Drosophila melanogaster: one gene and its partners. The protein of the gene in region 1 interacts with the protein of each later gene in a pairwise test. Each region holds a gene or a part of one and is shown in the gene's direction. Other genes may lie near its edges.

Region 1 (7,452 bases):
AAAAGCACTTAAAGAGTTAATTTCATTTATTTTTATGTTAATCGCATTGCAATAATTGCCTATTGTCAATCCGTGAAAGTTAACAAAGTAACTTTACTATGCCATTCATAAGTCTACCAACTGATTCATATGCCCCGCACCCACGCGACCCTCACTTATGCAAATCAGCAGTATCACAGAGCTCACGAAAATTAATTATCACTAAAAATGAGACGAATAGAAAAAGGTAACGTAACCGAGCTGAGGAACAACAACTTAATCGCCTGGCATTTCCGCTCGTCCAATTCCACTCGAAATAGCCAGCTTCCACTTCCCAAAAGCCAACAAGAAATACAGGCAGAACGAAAAGATAACCTGTGCAGGTGGTTATGACCGTGAGGGAGCGTGGGCTGGCCAAGTCGAGTGTATTTCCGCTTGAAAGCGGCAATAACGATATTTGTAATAATAAATTTACGTAAAATATAAAACAAAATCAACGTTGACTCAAGACCCAGTCGCCGCCCACTCAGCGACACCAACGCTTTTTCGAGGCTGCAGACAAAGTTAACAGCCGACAAGGTAGCAACAGTACACACAAAACAGCCAGCTCAGAAGCTTGGCCCGAAGCCCCACGATGCTCACAATTAGCCGAGTCGAGAGAGTTTGTATACAAAAGTCTCTGCTTTCTCACTGCTTTCCCGTGCGATGGCCATAAATGGTCGCAGACACGTCTCACAGACTTCCTTAGCGGGATCGCCGGCCATCCAAGTGGGCCAAGAGGGAAGGGGCTAATAGCTGATGGCTTATAGCGTTTGGGGCCCCCCTTTGATCGAACTTATACTGGGCATCGCGCCTGGCTTTCTGACCATATTAAGGCAAATGCGATTTCCGAAGCTGGCAATTAAAAGCCAAAGCCAAAGCTGAAACTCAGAACATTTGCATAAGCAATTGAGCGACATGGCAGGTGGAGCAGGGGCATTATTCACGCTCAAATTAGATTAAAAGTAATGACAATTAACGCCATAAAATTCTAGTACTTAAGTAGCAATTAGTTAAACTTATATAAATTCAGTCTTTACAAGCATGCATTATGGCAATTATTAGTGTAAAAGTGCGAGAAATTATTTAAAACTGATTATTTTTTAAAATGTATATATTTTATTACCACGTTTTCAGCCCCTTTTGGCCATGCCCATATATTTTTGGACTTGGTCACAAAACAAACATTCAAAAGTGACGTTTGTTTTTTTAATTATGGCTCGCTTATTCATGTTCTTGTCTTTGGGAGTCGTCGTCGTTCGGCAGATTAAGCTGTCAGCAAAGAAACACAACATTTTGGCCACTTTGTATGTATTTTTAAATACGCTCAGTTAATCAAAAATATTCGTACATATATAATTTGATTTTCAGCTCCCTTCGCACGCAAATCAAATTAATGTTGCATGCGTTACTTTTCCACTCTCCTAAAATGTGTGACGACCTTGTGCCATGAAAAATGTATGCTTTCTGGGCATGAAAAAAAAAAGAATCATAATCAAATTTAACTGTTGTCATCATGATTTATTTACTCAAGAACAAAACACGACAAACGATGACGAACTCGCCTTCAGACAGAAGACAGAAGCACAAAGATAAATTAATCGCCAGTCAGTCACAGAGTCGATCGGTCTATTGCCCGAAGTCATTTATTCACAAATGCTCGTATATGAGTATATCGGGGCAAACTCGAGATTTAAGCCGGGTATGTCGTCATAGCTACAATAATGAGAAAACAACTTGTTTTGCCTGCAGGAGCAAATCCATTTTGCAATTATTTGCCTGTTTCAGTTAATTATAATTATTTGCGAAGCAACAAAATGCAAGCAAAAACAAACTATACAAACATGACTCTAAACAATATTCTTTGTTGAAAAATAAAAAAAAATCGGGTTCCAACAACTGAATTGTGACTTTGAAATCAGCTTAGCACTTTGAAATTAGACGCTATGTGAAAACAACTTGAGAAGTGCACACACCCAATACATCTGAACTGAAACTGATCGAAACGAATTAGAATAAATTATAAAATCCAAATATATGGACAGGAGTCAAAAGCGTCGGCTATCAGATACCCATCAAAAATATTTTAATTACAATTTAAATTGCTGAAAATTACTGAACACCACGTTTCGAAGAATTGTTATTATATATATTTATATTATCTTACAGGAAATACTTTAAATACTTGTCATGAATTAAAGTTAAAACAACAAAATTCCACCATCCATTCTTAAAACACTTAAATGACAAACAAATGAGGAGATTTCCTTGAACTTTACTTCGACGTGCCTCATAATTCGCCACGAAATCCAAGTTGATCCAAATAAATACCAAGAATGAGTATCATTTATGGTCTGGCAACCAAAGTTCAACCTTAAAAATGGAGATCCGACACAAGTCAAGCTTTGGTAGCTGATACCATCTCAATCAAAGGCGAATAAACATTTTTAACTATTTTCAAGTGAGCTCAAGCAATGTCTGACTTGTACAAATGAATGTCAAGCGCTGCTGCAGCAGCAAATAAAATTAGCAATAAATTTAAATAAATAACTGCCTGGCGATATTAGATCATACGAAATCTCAGGGGGCCGTCTACGCGTACTCGTGGTAGCACTCAAAACACTCGAAACGAAACCGAAAATCCATCCGAATCGGAAATCACTCAAGAGAGTGCGCCAAAGACCAACTGGGACCGTACTATGCGATACAGTACGATACGATACGATCCGATACGATACGATCCCATCCGATCCGGCCAACGCAAAAAGCACCCACACATCGGGTGGATGTGGATATTTGGGGAAAGAGAGAACTGGTTTCTCTTCAATGACTTTGTGCTGAGCTGTGCTGTGTTGTGTTGTGTTGTGCGCTGGGCTGTTTTGTGTTGGCGTTGGCGAGCGCCAGTGGGTTTCTCGGTTTATTGGTCGTCGCTGAGAAAACGAGACTGTGCTGCCTTTTAATGCGGCATTTCATTCATTGATCGTTCCAATAGCGCGCCGCACGCTCAGCGCAGCGGACAAGTGAGCCAAAAGTCCGACTTCCACTGCCATCGCCGCCCACCTGAGCCGCTAACCTGGCTAACGGAGTCAAAGCCAACTGGGGGCAGTAGTCAGCTGATTTAGCTGCCACCGCATCCCAAGCCAAACCAAGTCAGACCATCCCAGCGATCCGCGAGATATATCTATTCAGTGCACAGCCGACAAGCGCAGCAGGCGGACGCAGCGCAGCATTTTCTCCGTGTATTTTCGTATGCCATCTCGGGATATTGGATACAGATACAGATTCCGAGATACAGATACACAGAACGCGAGCGACGCGCACTCATAGATATTTTTAGCAACCGGCCTCACGCACACCGCCGCACACATTAGTACCGCCGCACTGACACACGCGGCTTGCACGTTTTCACGGAAAATCCATTCTTCGAGGCTTTTCCAGCAGGCCCAAGATAAACACAACTCAAGAATGCGCGAAAACCGTACCGAAGTTATTATCAATAGTTAAACCAGCGGCGCAATCACAACCGCAACAACCACAACCACCGCAATATTAATTCAAACCAAAACAAGTTCCAGAAGTTTTTGAGGAAATAAAAACTGAAAACAAACCTTTTTTGTTGTGTTAACATGCCAAATTTATGCATGAGCTAATAACTTTAAATCCGAAAAGAATAAAAAAAAGTCCAAACAAAACAAAATTCAAACAAAGATCGCATATCAAAATTAGTTGGGTGACTAATTAGACAGCGCGTTGTCGGAATTTCAATTTGCATACTTTGGCGCAACTTTAATGAACCAAAAATTAAAATAAAAACATCAACAAATCTTAATCAGAGTGCACAACTGAATTCAAATCATCCTGAAAGACCAATCCCGCAGCCATACATTGTTGGATTTATGAAATCAAAAAGGTAAATATACCGCCGCCATTTATCAGACATAAGCGTTCAGATATAGAAAAGATATAGAAGATCTGCCCGATCTCTTGTTGCCGCCCCAATAAAAATAGACAAAAGGCATTCCTCTGTCCAATCACGTTAGTGGCTGGCAGATGGGGCAGGGCGGGCTTTTAAGAAACTTCTGAAACATTTATTTGTCCAAGGTGTTGAAAAGCCAGATGTGTGCAGGGGAAAATGTTTTCGAGCTGCTCAGCAGGGAAAACGGCGACGACAGCCAGTTGTCAACTGATTTTCAAAGGTTACCGAAGGGAAGCAGCAACTTGGCTGCGTTTGTTTGCGACCAAAGTAGGGGGAACAGTTTAATTAATGTGCAAACAAAAGCTGTGAATTCTCATCATCAATGAGAGTCCCGCTTAACCTGCCACTCACTTTAAATCTGTGATGTGCTAATCAACGCCGGCATTTATTTATTTACTTTCATTTTCGCCATACCATTCGGCAACAAGCACTATGTTTGCCCAAATAATCGAGTAAAATTGGTTTCTGGCAGCCAGTCAATCGCCGATTTTAATTTGGCATTTATTTATTTAATATATTAATATATTATTCATTTTGTCGAAAGCTAAAATAAACTAGCATCTCATGGGCTGACTCAATACATGATTAAAAAATGTTATTCGTCATAAATATTTTATGATTTACAAAAAAAAAATTCGCCAAAAATACACGCATTAATCGAGTCAAATTTTAATGATTTTTCTGCCATGGAAAGGTGCATCTAAAATTAAATTAGTTTATGGACACATGAGTCTATTGCTACCCTATATATACTTGCCTACCTCATTGTTTGCTGTCCCCCTGACCCAAATCTCGATCGTATGTGGGAAAAGCCAGCGCCCCTCCTTGCAAAGAGACTTAAACAATAACAATAGCAGGAATAAATCAAGAAAAATAAAAGTTAGTCGTAGGCAAATGCCAGAGACCTGTCAAAAAATCAAGCAAATCAAAAGCCGATGGGTAATACAAAACCACACAGAAAGCTATCAAAATATAACTCATACGTATTCGTATTTATCCACACGGTGGTGGAAGGGAGACGGTGAATGTAAACACGGCCACATCACACATACGCAGTGTGTGCCAATTTTAATAAACAAACTCAACGTAAATGGAAAATCAAACAAAATCATTTGGCCAAAGCAATGGCAACAAATCAACAGAAGAAAAAACAAAACGAAATAAAAGGAAAGAAGCGTAAAAAAATCAAAAGACGGCAAAAAAAGAGATGGGTAAAATAACAAATAAGAACTTGCCGCAGGCCGGCTAAAAATAATAGCTGCCAACGGTAGCACACACGAGACTAGCATCAGGGGGACGTGCAACGTGCAACTGGCAACAGCCAACAGCACGAGACAACAGCAACCACACACACACACACACGCGCAACTAGCTAGGCGAGCAACAACAAAGGTTATAGACTATAGGTGACTATGTATATAGTATCGGCAACAAAGTCGAAGCCGAATGAAAGATTTTGACGCTTTCCACAAAAAGCAAATTAAGAATCACAAATCGAGGCAGATAAAAAATAGATAGAGCGCTACGAAAATAAGAAAACGAAAATAGTGAAGGAAGAAAATTCAAGTTGCATACAATGAAAACTAATTTTAGAGCTGTGGAAAAGACAACAACAACAAAACGAATCAAAAACACGGCAGGCACAGAGACAATCTGAATCAGTCGGAGATTCCATAGCGAATCGGTCCAGAGGGCAGCTCTTGAAGTTACGAAAGACAAAGCAACTTTGGATTTCATTCAAAAGCAATAATTAAAGTTGAAAGTTTAGTTCTTGATGATGATTTTACTACTTTAGTTACTTTTTCAATTGAAGGATTACTAATATTTATAAATCAAAGTTTAGATCCGTTTACCATGCTAACTTTATCTTGTCAAGAGAAAACATTGTTCAAACTAAGTCATCTACCCTCGTTATAGCAATGCCTCATGTGGTTCAGTTGCTTTTTTTTCCGTGCCCAAGCAGCAGACGCTTCATTTTCCATTTAACCGCACCCGACTGCCGAAATCCTTGAATTCAACAATTCCTCCTGCCCCGATTTTCCCCCCGGAAAACCCATGGGCGCGCAGACAAGCGTGCAGAAAAAGTTCTAAATTTAATGGCTACACCTAAAAATGCAGCGACTGCAACCGAACCAAAAGTGAAGGGCAGACTGCAGAGGGAGGAGGAGCCACTCGCCGGTAGTTTCAAGTGCACTTCGGCTAGGCCTGGCTAACTTCCCCGTCCCCATTCCCATTCCATCTGATTTTCCCCAAAAAAAAAAAAGTATTTTATATATCTGTGGAACGGGCCGACCCACCCACACGCCCCTGCCCCGCCCCTCGACCCCTTCACGCCTCGTCGCACGCACGGCTCGCCTTTTGTCTACCAAACTGTTGGTAAAAGAGAATGGGATCAGGAAAAGGGGTGCACTGAAACAAAATTCTTCAACTGCAAATAATTGTAAGGAAAAAAACTTTAAGAATTTTTTGTTGTCAAAAAGCTCAACATTTTATTTGAATATGAGATCTTATAAATATATCATATAACAAAAACACAACTTAGTTTGATAAGCTGAAATGTTATAAGCAGTAATCAAACATAACAGCTTTATTGTATTTGATTGAACGTATTTCTTTCACATTCCTCCGATTTTTCTCAGTGTCAAAATGAAATGTTGGGCTTTTGTGTAAGAGGAACTGTTCTATGTTTGTTGTCTGTGCATTTCAATTGGGCGCTTTCTGCATTGTGCCGGCGTGTAATTGAAAACTTAAGCAGAGGCACCACCCCGCCCTCCTTCCCCCCCCCCCACCGCTCACTTTGTCCACGAAAAGCGCGCAACAAATTTTCCAATCAACAGAGAACGAAACAGGCCCTATGCACTATAAACTGCGCCCCGCTAACTTCCTGCTCCACTTCCTTGCAGCATATCCTGTATCCCTCCGGTTGCGACTCCGAAAATCAGGAGGCCGCTTGTTGCTGTTTGTTCAACAAACGTTTATTAGCCGCGAATACTTTTAATCGCATGCAATTTGTTGATTGCGGACAGTCGTTGCACTTTCCACGCTTTTCCACCCACCCAGCGAAAAGGCCCACTTTAAGCACACGGAACTAGGTAATTTTCACGTCGTTTTGGACCGGAGGGCGGGAAAATGGGAAAATTGGGCGGAGGGGAGCGAGGGGAGTGAGCAGGTGAACAACGTTTGCCGCCCCTCTTTGAAGACGGTGCACAAATTTTTCTGTGTTGCGCGCTTAATTGCAGCTTGTTTGTTGCATGTCGCAAACTTTTCACGATGCCCTTACAACTCAAGTGGGTTCCACTGACTTGGGGGCGGGTCTTTTAAAGAATGACATTCGTTTCGTACCATGCTTTAAAAATAATGTATTAACGAAATTTATATGTATATAGATATGTAGAGTAGAGGATAGATACTAAGCATATTCTAAAAGCATTTAAAACTTTTTGAAAGGGCATGCAATC
Region 2 (6,180 bases), on another chromosome or scaffold:
ATTCCCGAGGACAAGGGACAGCCCACCGTGCAGACATATCGCTTTCAGCACGGAGCTAGGAGATAATCGGGCGGACCGGAGTATCCTGTGACCGGCACTAAAACACCGTTTGACAGGCAACGAAAGCCCGGAAAGCGGGAATCCCCAACATTGAAATCGAGACAGAGGAAAAGTGACCACCAGATAAGCAGAGCGCATTCATCTTACGGGAAATCCGAAGGATACGGGACAAAGACTAACCGGTGCGGTCAAAGAAATCCGAATAAAGTTAAACAAAAGTTGGACACACATATTAAGGGCTTAAAGTGTAGCCAGAAACCTAAAACAAGGAACTTATCTTGACAGCTCGACTGTGCACTTAACCAGGTTACCCGCAAAATACACCTATATATCTTGATCAATTTTGCTGGCGCGAGGAGGAAATAAAAAAACTTAAATCATAGCCAGCTTTTGTTCAGCTTTCCAACCTGGTTTCAGTCGCCTTTTTTCCCTCGGTTTTGTTTTGCGGGCTTTGTCTGCACCACTTTGCTTATCTTGGCCACACTTTTTATTGGTCACCTTTATTTGGCCTGACATCCCCCATATTTCAGCAAATAACAGCAGCAGAGATAAGTGGCAACCAGAAGGACATGCGAATTAGTTACATTTTTTGTGGAAAATATCCTCAGGAAAGGGTTCAAAAAGTAAGAGTTGCAACAACAGCAATGAAAGGGAAATCAAATCGTTAAACGAAAAAAATGCTCACTTAACTTTTCCATTTAATACGAACAGCTCCTAGAAATTTTGCACTTATCAAAATGTCACAAGAAATTCCAAGATATTTATGCCATACAATAAATTATGTTGCAATTTCATAAACCGCTTCCTCCGAATCAAACTGAAATTTACAACTCTATCAAAAATTATCGCTGCAATTTTTCAAGCAAGAATGTAAAAAATCAAATTTTCATTGACACCGCAAAATTCAAATTTCCAGCACTCTTCTCTCGTTTTTTTTTTTTTTGGAATTTCGAAATATCTCTGGGATATTTTCAAACATGACACCTGAAACTTTGGCATACAAATTTATGAAAATATTTGCACATCCATTTCACGGCTTGAGGGATGGGAAGGCAACACCTTTTGGCTTCATTGAACTTGCAGCTTCGCATTACACAAAGCCCGAGGAGGAGTCTGCTACCGCGATACACATGCAAATTTGTGTACAAACTGAATCAATTTTTACCGCGATAAACTTCGGCTCCACCTTTTGCGGTGGAAAAGTGGAGAGAGCACCGGATTTTACGGCACTGAGGTAACTGCAAAATGTTGTGTAAAATTTGCAAATGCAATAAATAACTCGTTTCGGTGTAACGAAAAAAAAAGGATTGCTTCTGCTGTTTACACCCCCTTACAAAGGCATGTAGCGATTCCTCTTTTTTCGCTTCTGTATCCTTTTTTGCTCCTGTTTAGGGCTTTCATCCCCCCACCGAAACCAAAGCGCGCCACATGTGCGAGTCTGGTTGTACTTCCTGTGGGTTCCTTCCTCTTCGGTTGGAATACTCTATAGAAATTAGTTATGTTGAATAAGTTTTAAATTTAAAAAAAATTTAAAACCATTAAGGTACTTGTGTTACTCTCAGCTTTAAGTTCTTTCTGGCATGGCTAAGCAAAAGAAAATAGTTTTTATTTTCAAATGGTGTATGGTATAGATCATAAAGTATTCAATAAAAAAAGAAAGGGTATTTTGAGCCTAGGCAGAACGCACTATGCATATTATCTCAATTTTTGTTTCGCTCTTCTTGTTTTTTGGAGTGCTGCAAAGCATCCCCGAAAGTATGCAAATAATTTTTGGCCCCAACTCATATTTGATATTCAGTGTCAGTTGTTGGAAGGGTTACCGAATACAAGTTATTGAAATTTGCATGCAACGGTTGGGGAGTTGATAAAGGGGAAATGGTTGGGCGGAGAAACAGCAGGCGTTGTTGAGGCAATTTATAGCACTTGTGTTAGGCGGCTGTTTCGCCGGAGGCAAAGTTCTCGGTTATTGTTTCGCCATATAAAAGGCGCTGGGATTTCTCAGCCCCAAAGGACGTAATTGTTTAGCAGTCTTCGGGCTTGATGATGTTCCCTTGATTTTTTGGCTGCGGAATTCTGAACAATCCCAGGGACTTCACCCTTTCGCACAGATTCCCAATTAAGTTTAGACCGGTTCAACGCTTTCGCATCCATCAGGATTTGGATGCGGCACTGAAAAGTTACCATCGCAACGCTAGCCGCACAAAAAAAAAAAGGACATAAAAACGCTTTAAATCCCTGGAAATCGCAAAAACTACGCTAATAACATTGTCATATGGCGGGGGTGATGGTGATTTTTTTATTTCCCTTTTTTTTTGGATTTTTGCACTAAACTTCGCTTATCAAAGTTGAAATTGCAGTTCGTTGCTGAGCGCAGCGCATTGGGGATTTGTCGGCCACTCGAAAACTCCAAATGCGAGGCATTTATTGTGGGGCAGGGATAGAGGATTTCATTTGAAACTCTGATACGAACAATCGGCGTTTTATTTGCCATTTTGGCGCTCAGAGTTTCATCATCGTACGCCACTGACCCAGTTCAAGCATTTATCACAACGGCACACACACGGATACAGGCGATTGTCCTGAGGGTCTGACCCCAGCACAATGAATGACCCCCCATATCGCATCCTCAACCTCTTCCCCCATTCCCTACCCCTTCTCTTCCACTGCCCGTCACACTGCTGACTAAGTGGACTTTTATTTCACTGCTATTACGGCCCAAGCAGCGTATACGCAATGAATAGTTTCGCTGTCAAGCTTTCGCCTTTTTCTGCCGCACTCGCTGGCCATCTTCAGTTGCTAAGCGATTTAGATTTGGGCACATATCTCACCGCTTTGGGTGGGTTATTTGCTCTCTGTGAGAGATAAAGAGCCAGTGGCTAAAACTCTTCAGACGCTTGCCTGAATCGAAATCATTGTTAAATGCAGATAACTACTGTCTGGCCCCCGGCGGCGTCCATTCATAAATTTAAGTCCAATAAACCTCCTCCTATCACTTATCTGCCGGTTCTTCACCTACGAAACGTCATTGACTTGATGACGTCATGTGTCATCTTTATGAAATTATAAATAATTTATTTCCTTTGGACAAGCGCCAACCTTCAACATGGAAATTTCAGATAGATAAGACTATCTACGACTTGCTCTGTTTCCCAGTTTATTGAGTATTGAGTAGAGTATGTTCAGTAGACGAACGCCTTTCGAGGGAACAAGTCGGCCATGAGCTATCAGAATTTACTAGGTTTTCTACTCGTGGTGGGTATCGAATATACACGAAACATCGTTAAATTAAAACATACAACTGTACATTTAAAATCAGAACAAAAGCTTTACAGCAATAAATCATCCAACATGTGTAGCTTGGTTAATTAACATTTTATAACACTCAATTCATACTAACTATGGCTTGAATATAAATGCTTTCATATTATTCCAGCTGACCCCTTCTTTGATCAATACCTATGGAGATCGAAGTCGCTATCGGTTGTATTTGCAATCAGATTACGCTCTGCAAACAATCAGCACTCAGCTAGTTTCCCAGGCAATCGAGCTGGTGGACTATGTGGTGGAAGATCTGATCGTCTTGGACTCGCAGAACTCCATTCTGTTGGGCTACTTGGATCGCTTCGATGCCTTCACTGCCGTAAATGCGAATAAAACGGAGCAGAAGCTAAATGCCTTCTATGGCGTGATTGAGGACTATCTAGATTCGGATACCACGGGAGATCCACTGAGAACTTCCAGTATCGAGACCCAGTTGATTGCGCTTTGCTTGCAGCGCAACGGATTCGATCGATGGAAGCGCACGGTTCAGACCCGGACATCCCAGCTTCAGAAGCTGATATACCGGAAGTTGAGGAAGCACCTGGAGTCCATAGACAGGGAGGATCGTTTGGCTGTGGAGCGCAGGTGGAGGAAAATCTTGACTCGTGGCGGACCCCGAAGATTGGAGAAGCTGAGGGAATTCGTCAAATGGCTGGGAAATTTCAGAGATTAGAGTGCGGCGGCCCGGGTGAACGAATTGTTAGGCAATACGATATGCCGTTTAGTGATAAGAAGAGTTATAAACATTATTTATGGGTGGGTGGAGCAAGAGAATGTTTGTGGTTTAAATATAACCGGCCATGACCTTGAGGTATTATCAATGAAAGCAATATAAGAACGAAGTTTGAATTTGCATTAAGAATGTATTTTAGTAATATTTATTATTGCTATGTTAAGCAGTTCCTTGGCTAGAAAGTGGATGTTCTTTATAAAAGAAAACGTATTCATAGCATTTGTAAATTGAACATGTACCAACGCCTGGCAGTAAGAAAGTGCATCGAAGCTATTATCCTTTTGTGTCCTTGCACTTACTCCCCCTCGATAAATGCAATTTTAGCACAGCACGTCCCCTTCCTCATCACTCGGATCATGTATGAGGGCATTGTTTAATGCACTTCACAGCTGGAGGAAACTTTTTCCAGGCCCTGTGTCGACGGCAATGAAAACTTTGTCATGCCTGGCAAAGAGGATGATAAACTTGGGTAAAAATTATGAAACTGAATATGGAAGCGTTGGCGAAATTGAGACAGCAAAACAACAGAGCCAACAGACAGGCAAAAGACATACGAGACTTTTAGCCAAGCGAGGACTAAAACTGAAACTAAAACTGATACTTTTTATGGATGGCAAGTGAAAAATGTAGACAGTTGCAGAACGACTTTCCGGGCGGGGGCCAAAGGCAGGAGGTGAACGGGATTTGCTGGGATGAAAGAAAAATGGCAACTGCATTTCCTGTCTGAGAGCTGACAAAGTGCTGAGTGCATTTACGACTTGGACTTGGGCGAGTGTTTTGTGTCTTTCCTGCAGCTGCAGGAGATGCCAGGAATTTATGCACTCAGTCCATAGTCCACAGTCCGCAGAGAAAGCTCTGGAAATTCCTGACCTGAGGCATTTTCTGTAGGGCCTGGGCTATTTTCTTTGGGCCATCTGATAATCGGCCCCAGCTGTGGCTAATCGGTTTACATTTGTCACACTGGCACTTTGGCCAAGGATTCTCTACTGGTAGATGCCACTTGTCCAGGAATCTGGTAAGTCCTGACGTTTCTCCTTAGAATTATGTTTGGTTAATGTTATATTGAACTTCAGTACATCCTTTTCCAATTACTCTGCCGTAATTTGGCAGGACCGCATTAATTTGTCGGCAAAATAATTCCTTTGGACTTCGATTCATACAAAACATATAATTTTATTAGCACAAGTTTCAGTTTTAATGACAGAATTTCAACGACAGTCAGGGTTCCCTTCCTATAAACTCGTCGCCTCGGCGTCTACAGCGAAAACAGAGAAAGGACTTCATACAACCAAAAAGGACGAGAACACCCATACAAGCACAGCAGGCAGCAATGATAAGAAAAATTACGACGAATATGAACAAAAGTCCCCAAGCACCTAGGTTAGTATCCGGGTGTCCAGTGGTTGTACGGTACGCCACAGTTGTCATGTTAAAGTCTATATATTCAATATCGTATTCAGATAGGGTTGTAGCATCCAACTCGGCCATAGCTTATGGGAAATAAATTGCAAATTTTGTTGCTTTCGATAATAGATTGAACCCTCTAAATGGAAGGAAATATGTATAAGGAAAATCACATTAAATTAACGAATGCTTCTCACCGTTCCTTGCATAGCAGCTTAAGAATTTCGATGACCCTGACCCTTCAGAAATTTTATTTTGGGTATAGATTTTTTTTTAATTTTAAGAGTACAGTCGCAGCTTACTGAAGTCGATATTTTTTTGTACTTTAAATTTGATTTTTGGTTGCCATATATTAAGTTAATAGATATCATTTCAAAATTAAGCTAGATTTTTTTATTTTTTATGAATAGACAACAATTTTGCCAATGAGCATACGGATGCTCCTAACGAATCTGTACCTGAGCACATTAAATTTATAGGCTTTCGAATCGCATATCCTAGCACTACGTACATATTAATAGAAACTTGAATTATCGCCGAATTAATCATCGTCCAAGGTGCAGTCCCCACAGCCGTCGCCACAATCGCCACACCCGCCGCCATCGCCGCAACATCCACCGCCGTCATCGCCGCAACATCCACCGCCGCCGCCTTCACCACAA
Region 3 (6,957 bases), on another chromosome or scaffold:
AAAGCCAAAGCCAATTCCCACAGCAATTTTGGAAAGATGCACGCGTCGCTGGCTTGTTGAGTTGCAAGGTTTTTTAGCCGGGACTCTAATAAATATGAAACAATGAGACAAAAGTCAAAGTTGGCTGCTGATTGCCAGCCATTGTTGTTGTAATATGTTTGCAAGCGATCGCTTAAGGTACACTGAGCAAAACTAGTAATATCGATTGTATTTGACTTAAGAAAGGAAAACGCATATGGGTTTACTTAAAAAAAAATAAAATAAAACATAATATAACATAAATAAAACTATGACTATGGATCAAAACCAACTAAAGCACATATAATCCTTAAGATTAGGTTCCTTAATACATTAACAAACAGAGAAATGTTTCTTGATATTTTTTGCAGTGTGACAAACTTTTTGTCCGATTGCTTTGTTTTATTTTGTTTGGCCGATGTCGCAAATGTACACCAGAAATAGCTATAGCTTCGGCTTTTGCTGTAGCGGCAGGAGGACTTCAACTGCTTTTGGCCAAGTTAATGCATGTACTAAATGTCTAACGGTAAATATGAGTTACTAGGTAATTGCTTGGCCTGCTTACCTGCAGCTGTTACATGCGCGCATGCGCATAACCAACAAAAGCAGCAACAACGCGTCTTGACTTTTCACTTTTGTGAGTGGGAATTGATTGAGTGCCCAAGTGCTCTGGGTAAAAGTAAGTCATTCCAGGCAAAAAAGAAAAATTACAGCAAAGTGAATCTAAACTATAGCTAACCAAAAAATTAACACCTGCTGGCCAGCAAAATGAAAATTTGGTGTGCAATTACAACGACAGCGAGGAAAAATAACAATTTTTGAGTCGATAAGTGGCAGCGAAATCAGACGAAAATTTGTTGCATATCACAAGACAGAAATGGGTGAAATGGCCAAAAAATGAATAGACAACATTGTATACCCTTGAGAGATTAATAGTCTACTGTTAGATGTTTTGCATGTTTAGGAATTTAGATAAGCTTATTTTTCCATTGGGTTAAAAGTACCTGATTTGCAGTACACTTACAATGTACATCCCCAACTTTCCGCCATATTCGATGGACTCTCTTTGGAAAGTTCACCAAATTGTAACTCAAAATTGTATCAGCAATGCGTTCAATTTGCGGCGCTTCGTCGAATTGCCAAATGCAGCGGCAGATACAGTGCGGTACGTGACTGTATGTCCATGGGGAATGCCGCAAAGGCGACTGCAGTCGTTTGTCGAGTGTGGCATGTTGACTTGCGTTATTTTTTTCACCTGCCGCAACGCCAACGCTCTCCAGCTAAACATATAAACATAAAACAGCAGACGTAGACCCCAAATCGTGGGCCATAATTAAGCATTTATTTTATTTGCCATATTTCTTGCGCTGCATCGGGATTTACTGCGGATTGGATTGGTAATCATCGTGGACAAAAATGTTTGTTTTTATCCCCCGAGTTTTTCGGTTTGTCATGTCTCGCAATGTTGTCAAACGTTGTCGACCATAATATAGCAATTAAAATTGTGCTCGTATTTAAGAGTACATCAACCCGATGACACTCGTTTCGTTTTGACCAGATTGAATCCACGGATCCATGGATCCATGGCTGATCTGCCAAAAAAGAGCTTGTGAATCGGGGCTATGCAAAGTGGTTGGCTGAAAAACTGCACGAAATTCCCATACAAATCCAAGTAATTTCTTGAGTTATTGGCAAACAACTTGCCGATGAACTAGATTACAGAGATGGATGAAATGAGTTGAACGAGTGCATGATGGGCAGGAATTTGGAGTTAAATAGGGGAAAACATGTTGAGGATTTTCCTTAAAGTTGTGGGAAAATAATGAGGACTGGATTGACACAAATTAATGCTTTTTATAACGAAAAGTGTGCATAAGTTTTTTTTTTTCGTTTTGTTAGTGAATATATTTAAGTTACAACAAACTGGAATTATATTGTTGCTGAGAAACAAAACACCTGAATGCATTTGACAAAACGATTGCCTCAACCTTCGAGGTGAGAACCTTAGAGTCACTAAATTCCACGCTTCGCTGCCTAATTAGCGCCAACCAATTGCAAATTGACGAAAGACCCAAAAAATAGCTAGCATTGGTTAATTTTTCTTTAACGCAATTGTGGCACTTAACTTTGAATTAAAGTACGTGGCAGCCAAAGTGTGTGTGTGAGGCCCACAAGCACACACACACACACAAAAGAGCTGCGAACAAAACTTCTGTTTTGTGTGAAACAATTAAATATTACAAAATTGGCTTTTATTGGTACAGCCTGGAGACCCAATTCAAATCTAATGCTATTTACCAGTTACGAATTTACGAAAATCAGCGCATTAAAAGTGAACGATTAACCGGAGGCTAGCCGCAATAGAAGGTTGCCCCAAAAATGTTGCCCAGCAGCAGCCACGAAAATCATCAAGCCGAAATTTGGGTCAAACTGCGTTTAATGAGCCCACTTGCACGGCAACAATGCAGACCTGCAATGCAAATAGGCTGCCAAGCCGAGTTGGCCAAAGCGAAAATACCAAAATATTAACAAACTTGGGCTCGCTGGGGTGGGAGAGATGGATTGGGGGGATGGGGTTTTGTTGCAATGTTGCAACTGCCGATCAGCCACATTGATGACGACTTATCAACGCCATCGCATGCGTCACTAATGGCACACAAAGAGTCCTGGACGACAAGCACTTATCGAAAATGTTGCAATATAATGTTGCTAGATATAAAATAATCTATAAAAATAAGAGGAAAATATTTAAAAATGTAATATTTGTCATAAATGTAGAGAACTTTATTACCTTTGTATGGCATATTGTCTTCCATTGTGGGCAATTATAAAATTTTAGAACCACATTTTCTTGTTTCTATTCTCATGTAATCATTGTTGATTTTCGATATTTTTCCTGAGTTGTGCCGACTTTTTATTCTAAGTGCATTGGGGCTGCAAACATCAAACCCCAAACAATGGCAAACAACAACCACAAGTGAACTGTTTTACATTCGGTTCAAGAGACGCTCCGCTCACCGAAGACAGCAAAGTCGCTGCTGCAAACCACCGCTGCTTGAATCCACCGAGCCACCGAACCACCGCTGCCAGCCGATTCACTTTCTTCCTAACCATATAAAAGCGGCGCATTTTGGTTGCAACCACATTATTCAGTGGTGAAAAGTCGTTGCGTGCAGTCAACCAGTGATCTCCAAATAAATCGCGAGCTAAAACTCAAACTAAAATGGCATTCAAGGTGAGCAGCAGCAGCCAAGGATAAAGGATAACGATTGTGAACAACAAACTATACAGCAAAAAAATATCCTAAAGGATACAGCAAAACGATCTGAGGATCGAGTGATATTTAAGAAACCAAGTGATTTGGTGGTGAACGAAGTGGAAAAGGTGTTCCAAATCTCCAGCAATCATTAAAAGGATATTCATATTAAAAATGTGATTTTTAATTTCAATATGCAATGATTTTTAATGGAAACAAATTTTATTAAACATCGGAACAATAGGATACTGTACTATTTACTATACTAAAGAAAAATTATAAATGTAGAGAATGACAGACTAGGAGCTCAAAGAAAGGCGCTTTTAGTAAAATATTCGTCAGGACCACTAAATTTCAGTTTAAAAATCATCCTGACAAAATTTCACTAAATCAATTTAGCTATTTTGTGCTAATTAAAAAACCAATTTAAAGACAACCTCAAAAACCACAGTTCAAACAAAAGCACCTATTAAAGTAAATCGTTTTAGGATTTAGGAAAAAACTCACACTTTTGCTTTAGTTAAATAAACCTCCCGCTTAGTTAACCAACAAATTTGCAGTCAGCCAGTAAACCACAAAGTAACCACTAAAAGTATATCCAAACAAAAGCGTCAGTCGACCACAGCAAACACTTGATTATGAATTCATTAAGACCAGCAAGAGGAAAAAGTCCGAAATTGCAAAGCAGCCATAACATGGATAGCTACTGTCTGTGGCCAGCAAGTCCTCCAACGCTAATTGCAGCACTTGCAACTACACACACTCCGTCAACGGAAACAATTAGTTGCTAATTATGCACCCACCTATCTGATCTTGCAGTATCTGATCTTCGCCTCGGCTCTGTGCCTGAGCCTCGCCTATCCGTTGGAGCACCAGTACTACGAGGAGAGCCATGGATATGAGCACCTGGCCCATCACGAACCGGAGCCCATCCATGAGTATGGCCACCATCAAATCGAACGCATCTCACTGGGCGAGGAGCACGGTCACCTCGAACACGCTGAGCCCCACTACGAGACCCACGAGTCTCACGGACATGATGAACATGTGGATTACTATGTGAGTATTGTTTCTGAAATTCAAAATTACACTATAAACTATAATCAAAGAGATGATGATGATGAAATGTTGTTTCTTAACAGGCTCCTCCCAAATATGCTTTCAAGTACGGCGTGAATGACTTCCACACCGGAGATGTGAAGTCGCAGCACGAGACCCGCGATGGTGACACCGTCAAGGGACAGTACTCCCTGGTGGAGCCCGATGGTTCCATCCGCACCGTGGACTACACCGCCGACAAGCACAATGGATTCAACGCCGTGGTCCACAAGACCGCTCCAGTGCATCATCATGAGGAGCTGCACGAACACCACTACTAAGCTAGTACACACTGCGCACTAGAGTTAGCCAAATTGCTCATCAGCCGGAAGTGGGAGGAGGATTATGAGGACTAGGAGGAGGGACAAGCATATCCACATCGGTCGACCATGGAATCAGCTTCATATCTCGTAATTAGGACATCAGCACACACCCAGGCCAAGGATCACATCCTGTCCATGGCCATTTCATTAACATTTTGTATATTGTATTTTATTCTGTGATAGCGAATAACTTCTATGTGTATCTTCCGCTTTCAACTGATCCTTAGTCACTACCTGCTCAGACGAATTTACCGATCACTACTCGACTGTTTGCCTTAATCTTTAATCTATAATCTATAATCTGTAAACTGTAATGTATACTTATGTCTTCTCGTAAAACAGAGATCGAACGAAGAAATTGTAAATTGTGTAATAAAGTGTGAATTATGTACTTTTTATAAAATCAAAACTCACCCGACCACTGGCCATAATTTTTTCAGCCGGGGCCAATCATTGAACTTGCACTCCTCAAACAAATGACCAAATGTCTCAGCTGACCAACTGGTTTATGCGTTTCCAGACGTAAACGGCAATGGGCAAGATTTCCACAAATTACCAGACATCGTTAGACACATTTTCCGGATCCCAAACGAGTTCTTCAGTTCATTGTGGTTTCTTGTATTTGTTTTCATTGAAATTGCATAAGCCTTAATTGAAATGTTGACGGAAAATGCTTCCTAAATGGTTAAAAGACTTGGAGTTTCTTCGAAATGTCGATGTAATTGATATATAAGCTGATTTCAATTAGCAATAAATAAAAAATCAAACCGCATTGCTAGTATGGCTAGTTTAAATTTGGCGGGGTTTGTCGATATAGTTTACCAGCACTGTTTAAAAATGTCGATAATGACTAGTAAACTTTCTTTACAATTGCCATCTCTAATTGATAAGAAAGGGCAGAGTACATATAAATAAGAAATATATCAATGGTCAGCTAACCAAAGGCAAGAATATAAACAAAATAATGGAGAAAAACAAATATGTACCACGTGTAAATCAGGTGAGCTAATTATGGTGAGCTATTCATGAATTAAAACCACTAAAATTATACATGTTTACCTTTTAGATAGATGCCATCTATTTGAACAAGGACATTGCCCGCCTGATACGCGATAATCTGCTGGAGAACTTGCAAGCCATCTCAGTGAGTATATGAACACTACCATAATTGGCCAATATATACTGTATATCTCTCACAGCCCGTTTTGTTCATCAAAATCCAACCGGAGCTCGACTTGATCATTCAATCCGCAATTTGGTTTGGTTCCGTCGGCAAGCGGTGCTCCACTTTTGGCCAACAGCTACTGGTTCTGGCTTACGATGCCGAAAAGCTGACCGTTTCCAGGCTGGTGCTCCATTTCATCCTGACCGTCTTGCCGGGCTACGTGAAGAGCTGGGAGGAGCGACGCTTAACAAGGCGCGTAGAATGGTTTAGCGAGGCGATTATGTGGGTGGAGAACAGTGCCCTGATACTGAACATCCTCAATTACTTTCGGTTCCTGAAGACAGGACGAAAACCCACTTTGGTGGACTACTTATTGGGATTGGACTACATTAGTCTGCGGAACAATCAAAGGAGAGACATTGGCTACAAGTACCTAACGAGGGAGCTGCTGTGGGGAGGATTTATGGTGCGTGTTAGTTAGTTTGCTTATTATACATATATATTACAGTGTATATTATAGGAAATCCTCGGACTGGTGTTGCCCATCATCAATTTCCGTAAGCTACAAAGAGTGCTAAAATCATGGACATTTTCCGGACGACGGTTAGAGGATAGAGATGGTCCGGCTTTCCTGGCGCCGCAGATGACACTAAGCACCACCTGCACATTCTGTGGAGAGCGACCCACATTGCCCCACCACATGGGCTGTGGTCATATTTATTGCTATTACTGCCTTAATGCAAATGTTTTAACGGATGCCAGTTTCTGCTGCCCCAACTGCGGTTCTGCGTGTCCTGAGTCGGGAATCCAAAGTGTCTGATAAATAGGAATATAGTGCATGTGATGGTTTTATATGTCTTTTATTAGTTTTAAGCGAAAAGTGGGCTGTAAGTAATAAACAAATCATTTTCATATTCCGCCAAATGTGTGTACTTTTAGTGTTAGCAAGCAGAGTAGTGTTGGTAGTCGTACAAAAACAGCTATTATTTACTTGCCCAGTGCCAGGAGTCGTGCGATATAAACTACATAAAAAGTGTATAATTAAACGAAAATAAAAAGCAAAAACTGTTTAGGGCGAAGTATAAAGCCTTGCGGAT
Region 4 (2,683 bases), on another chromosome or scaffold:
TGTGTGCGGAAGGGTAAGGGGGTGGCGGTTGAGGGGGAGTAGATCCTGTCAGCGTGTGACTAAAGTGTGTTGGTGTGTGTGTGAGTGTGTCGGTGCGGTTGGGTAGCAGCAACATTGTTGCAAAATGATTTTGAAAAAAAAAAACCATCAATAACTCAAATATAATGACAGTTTTCCACTTGTTGTTGCCCGTCACAATCACCCGCCGCCCCTAGCTGCCAACCACCACCATCCCCCGCCCCTAAGTGGGGCTAAATGGATGAATAACTTAAGCCAGCTGCTTCGCCTTTCCTCTTAGTGTGCGATGTTATGTAATGTAATAACGTCAATCAAATTTAAAAAGGCAGACCAACTATTTCAAAATCAATTTTCCTGAGACCCCGCCCCAGCGCCCCTTCGCCATTGCGCCCCCACCCCCTTTTCATGGAAGCGGTGGGAATGTGGAAAAGTGGAAAGGCAGCGGAAGGAAACAGGAAAGCGAGCTCGGCTTAAGCAAATACACAAGCACAAGTTGTTGCAGCATCAGAGGAATCCTGAGTGGGCTGTTGCTTGTGGAGCGGAGGAAGTAGGCTAATGTAGCAGAAGAAGACTCCGGACTCAGTCACTTTGCAAACAGTATCCCCCACTAAGCTCTGACTAGCGAAATTTGCAGCCAGGCACCGTGACACCGAGTGAAAAAGTGCCTGCCATGGTTAAAGTTGGGTTTAAACTTTTGACTGGCCGTGGCGCGTGGTTTTTGCCCCCGGGAGAAATGTATCATTCGTGTCATTAATCATTCGTCATGTGGGACGGCGACAACATTTCATTTGCTTATCATCCGGCTCAAAGTCTTTGGGGGAATGAACGCAACAAGAGCAGGCCTCAAAGTTGAATGAATCAAATGGGCTGTCGGAAAACTTATTTCTAAGCCTAGAAATCCCTGACAAGTCAGTGGCTTCGCGTCCCCTGCGATTGTAGGGATTTGAGGAGGCGGAGGTAGAAGCATTAGACAGAAGGTGTGGTTAAATAAATGTTTTCTTATTTGCTGAAATTACAGCAGTCTTAATTAGGATTTTCTCAAAAATATTTCACAGTATGGTTGAAATTTAAAAGTCCAACTATGATAGCATTTATTCAATATAATTACTTGAAACTGGACAGGGATTACAAAAAATCCTTTCAGCTAGTACAAGAGCATCCTTTCAATTTATATGCCCGCTTGATTTTTTATGGCCAGCACTCCACAGCACAACTACTGCCCATCATCATCATCATCGTCATCTAACATCATTCCTGTCCCATGGACGGCCACTCAAAGGCAAGCGCTGAATTGACAAATTGATGGATGGTTCTCCAAACGTTGCATGCTTCAGCATCTCTGCTTTCCTTATTTTTTCCCTTTATTGCCCCTTGTACGAGTATATGATGCATTATTATTCCGGAAAAGTTTGTGACCGCAACAACAACAATTGCTTGCCTAAGTGTTTTATTAGCCATCGAGAACAGAGTTTGAGTTCGGTTGAGTTGAGTTGATTGTCAGTTTTCATACACATCGGTTTTTCCCCATTTCTCCTTTTTTTTTTTGTATTCCTGATTTTCCTGAACTACTTTAGGGTTTTATTTGCTAGTGCCATGCCTTCTTTTTCCGGCAATGAGCTGACGAATGAGCATATCGACGAACTGAGGGATGCCTTTGAAAAGTATGATCTGGACTCGAATGGCACATTATCAGCCAACGAGGTGCGACTGGCTCTAATATCAGTGGGTTACGAAATCACTGAGGCAGAGTTGTACGATCTCATCCATTCGGTGGCTGTGAGAGACGAGGAGAGGCTGGACTTGAAAAAATTTATACGCATGATGGCGCCCCGAATGGCCAATGTGGATAGTGATAAAAGTCTATGCCGGACCTTTAACATGATTGACCGCGATCGCGACGGCTACGTCACCGTCCAGGATGTTCGTGCCATTATGGTCGTCCTGGGCGAAGTCGTAACCGATGACGATATTAAGGATATCTGCCAAGCAGTCGATATGGATGGCGATGGTCGCATAAGCTTGCGCGATTTCGTAGGCTTTATGCACAGCCCCATTTGAGCTGAGACAGCAAGCAAAATTGAACATTTTTCATACAGAGTAAGCAAACAAACAAAAATGTATCTCACAAATCTATTGTAGATTATAATAAAAATTATTGTTTTCATAATTATTAATATATTTAATTTTTGTGTAAAAAGCCAGTCAGTGTTTATGAATTTTCGTTTAATTTTATAATGGTTTTTTTTTTATTTAAAATGTTCTTTATTTTGTTTTTAGTAGGGCTTAATGTTTGAAGTACTTAAAAATTGAAATTCAATACATAGACGTACATATATTTCTGCCTGCTGGCAGAAAAAACGAAGGCGGCTGAATGGAAAACGGAAGGAAAAAATTGAGAGCATAAAGCCAGAAATTAATTCAACAGCACGTTTCGTCCATTAAGCCGCCAGAGCTTTGCTTGCTGACTTTGCCATCCTTTCGCCACCGCCCCTGCCACTCCCCCTGCAGGACATGGACATGGACACATGTGCAATGGCCGCACACACAAACACACATGCAAAGTGTTGTGTAAACAAGTCAGCTGCCAGTTGGCTGGGCGCTGCAGGCGGGGCTCACAGTAGGGGAAGAGCTAGAAGATGAAGAAGGAGCTTATCCAGAAGGAACG

Evidence for each region.
Region 2: the proteins of tx (region 1) and CG13488 interact in a two-hybrid assay, tested with the Drosophila melanogaster proteins (one large-scale study listed by BioGRID).
Region 3: the proteins of tx (region 1) and Cpr66Cb interact in a two-hybrid assay, tested with the Drosophila melanogaster proteins (one large-scale study listed by BioGRID).
Region 4: the proteins of tx (region 1) and CG13526 interact in a two-hybrid assay, tested with the Drosophila melanogaster proteins (one large-scale study listed by BioGRID).

Annotation. Positions count from the first base shown.
Region 1 is NT_033777.3:26,437,809-26,445,260, forward strand, and holds the start of tx (taxi), read left to right. Parts: upstream 1-2,969; 5' UTR 2,970-3,928; intron 3,929-7,452. UniProt on the Drosophila melanogaster protein: Probably plays an important role in the differentiation of epidermal cells into the tendon cells that form the attachment sites for all muscles.
Region 2 is NT_033778.4:21,948,351-21,954,530, forward strand, and holds CG13488 (uncharacterized protein), read left to right. Parts: upstream 1-3,241; 5' UTR 3,242-3,276; coding exon 3,277-3,420; intron 3,421-3,493; coding exon 3,494-4,054; 3' UTR 4,055-4,212; downstream 4,213-6,180. Other genes in the region: CG43405 (uncharacterized protein), read right to left, coding at 5,333-5,602; CG13494 (uncharacterized protein), read right to left, coding at 6,060-6,180.
Region 3 is NT_037436.4:8,333,496-8,340,452, forward strand, and holds Cpr66Cb (cuticular protein 66Cb), read left to right. Parts: upstream 1-3,176; 5' UTR 3,177-3,241; coding exon 3,242-3,253; intron 3,254-4,093; coding exon 4,094-4,333; intron 4,334-4,416; coding exon 4,417-4,653; 3' UTR 4,654-5,100; downstream 5,101-6,957. Other genes in the region: Pex2 (peroxin 2), read left to right, coding at 5,660-5,695, 5,762-5,839, 5,895-6,326, 6,381-6,680.
Region 4 is NT_033778.4:22,753,714-22,756,396, forward strand, and holds CG13526 (uncharacterized protein), read left to right. Parts: upstream 1-1,505; 5' UTR 1,506-1,611; coding exon 1,612-2,076; 3' UTR 2,077-2,183; downstream 2,184-2,683.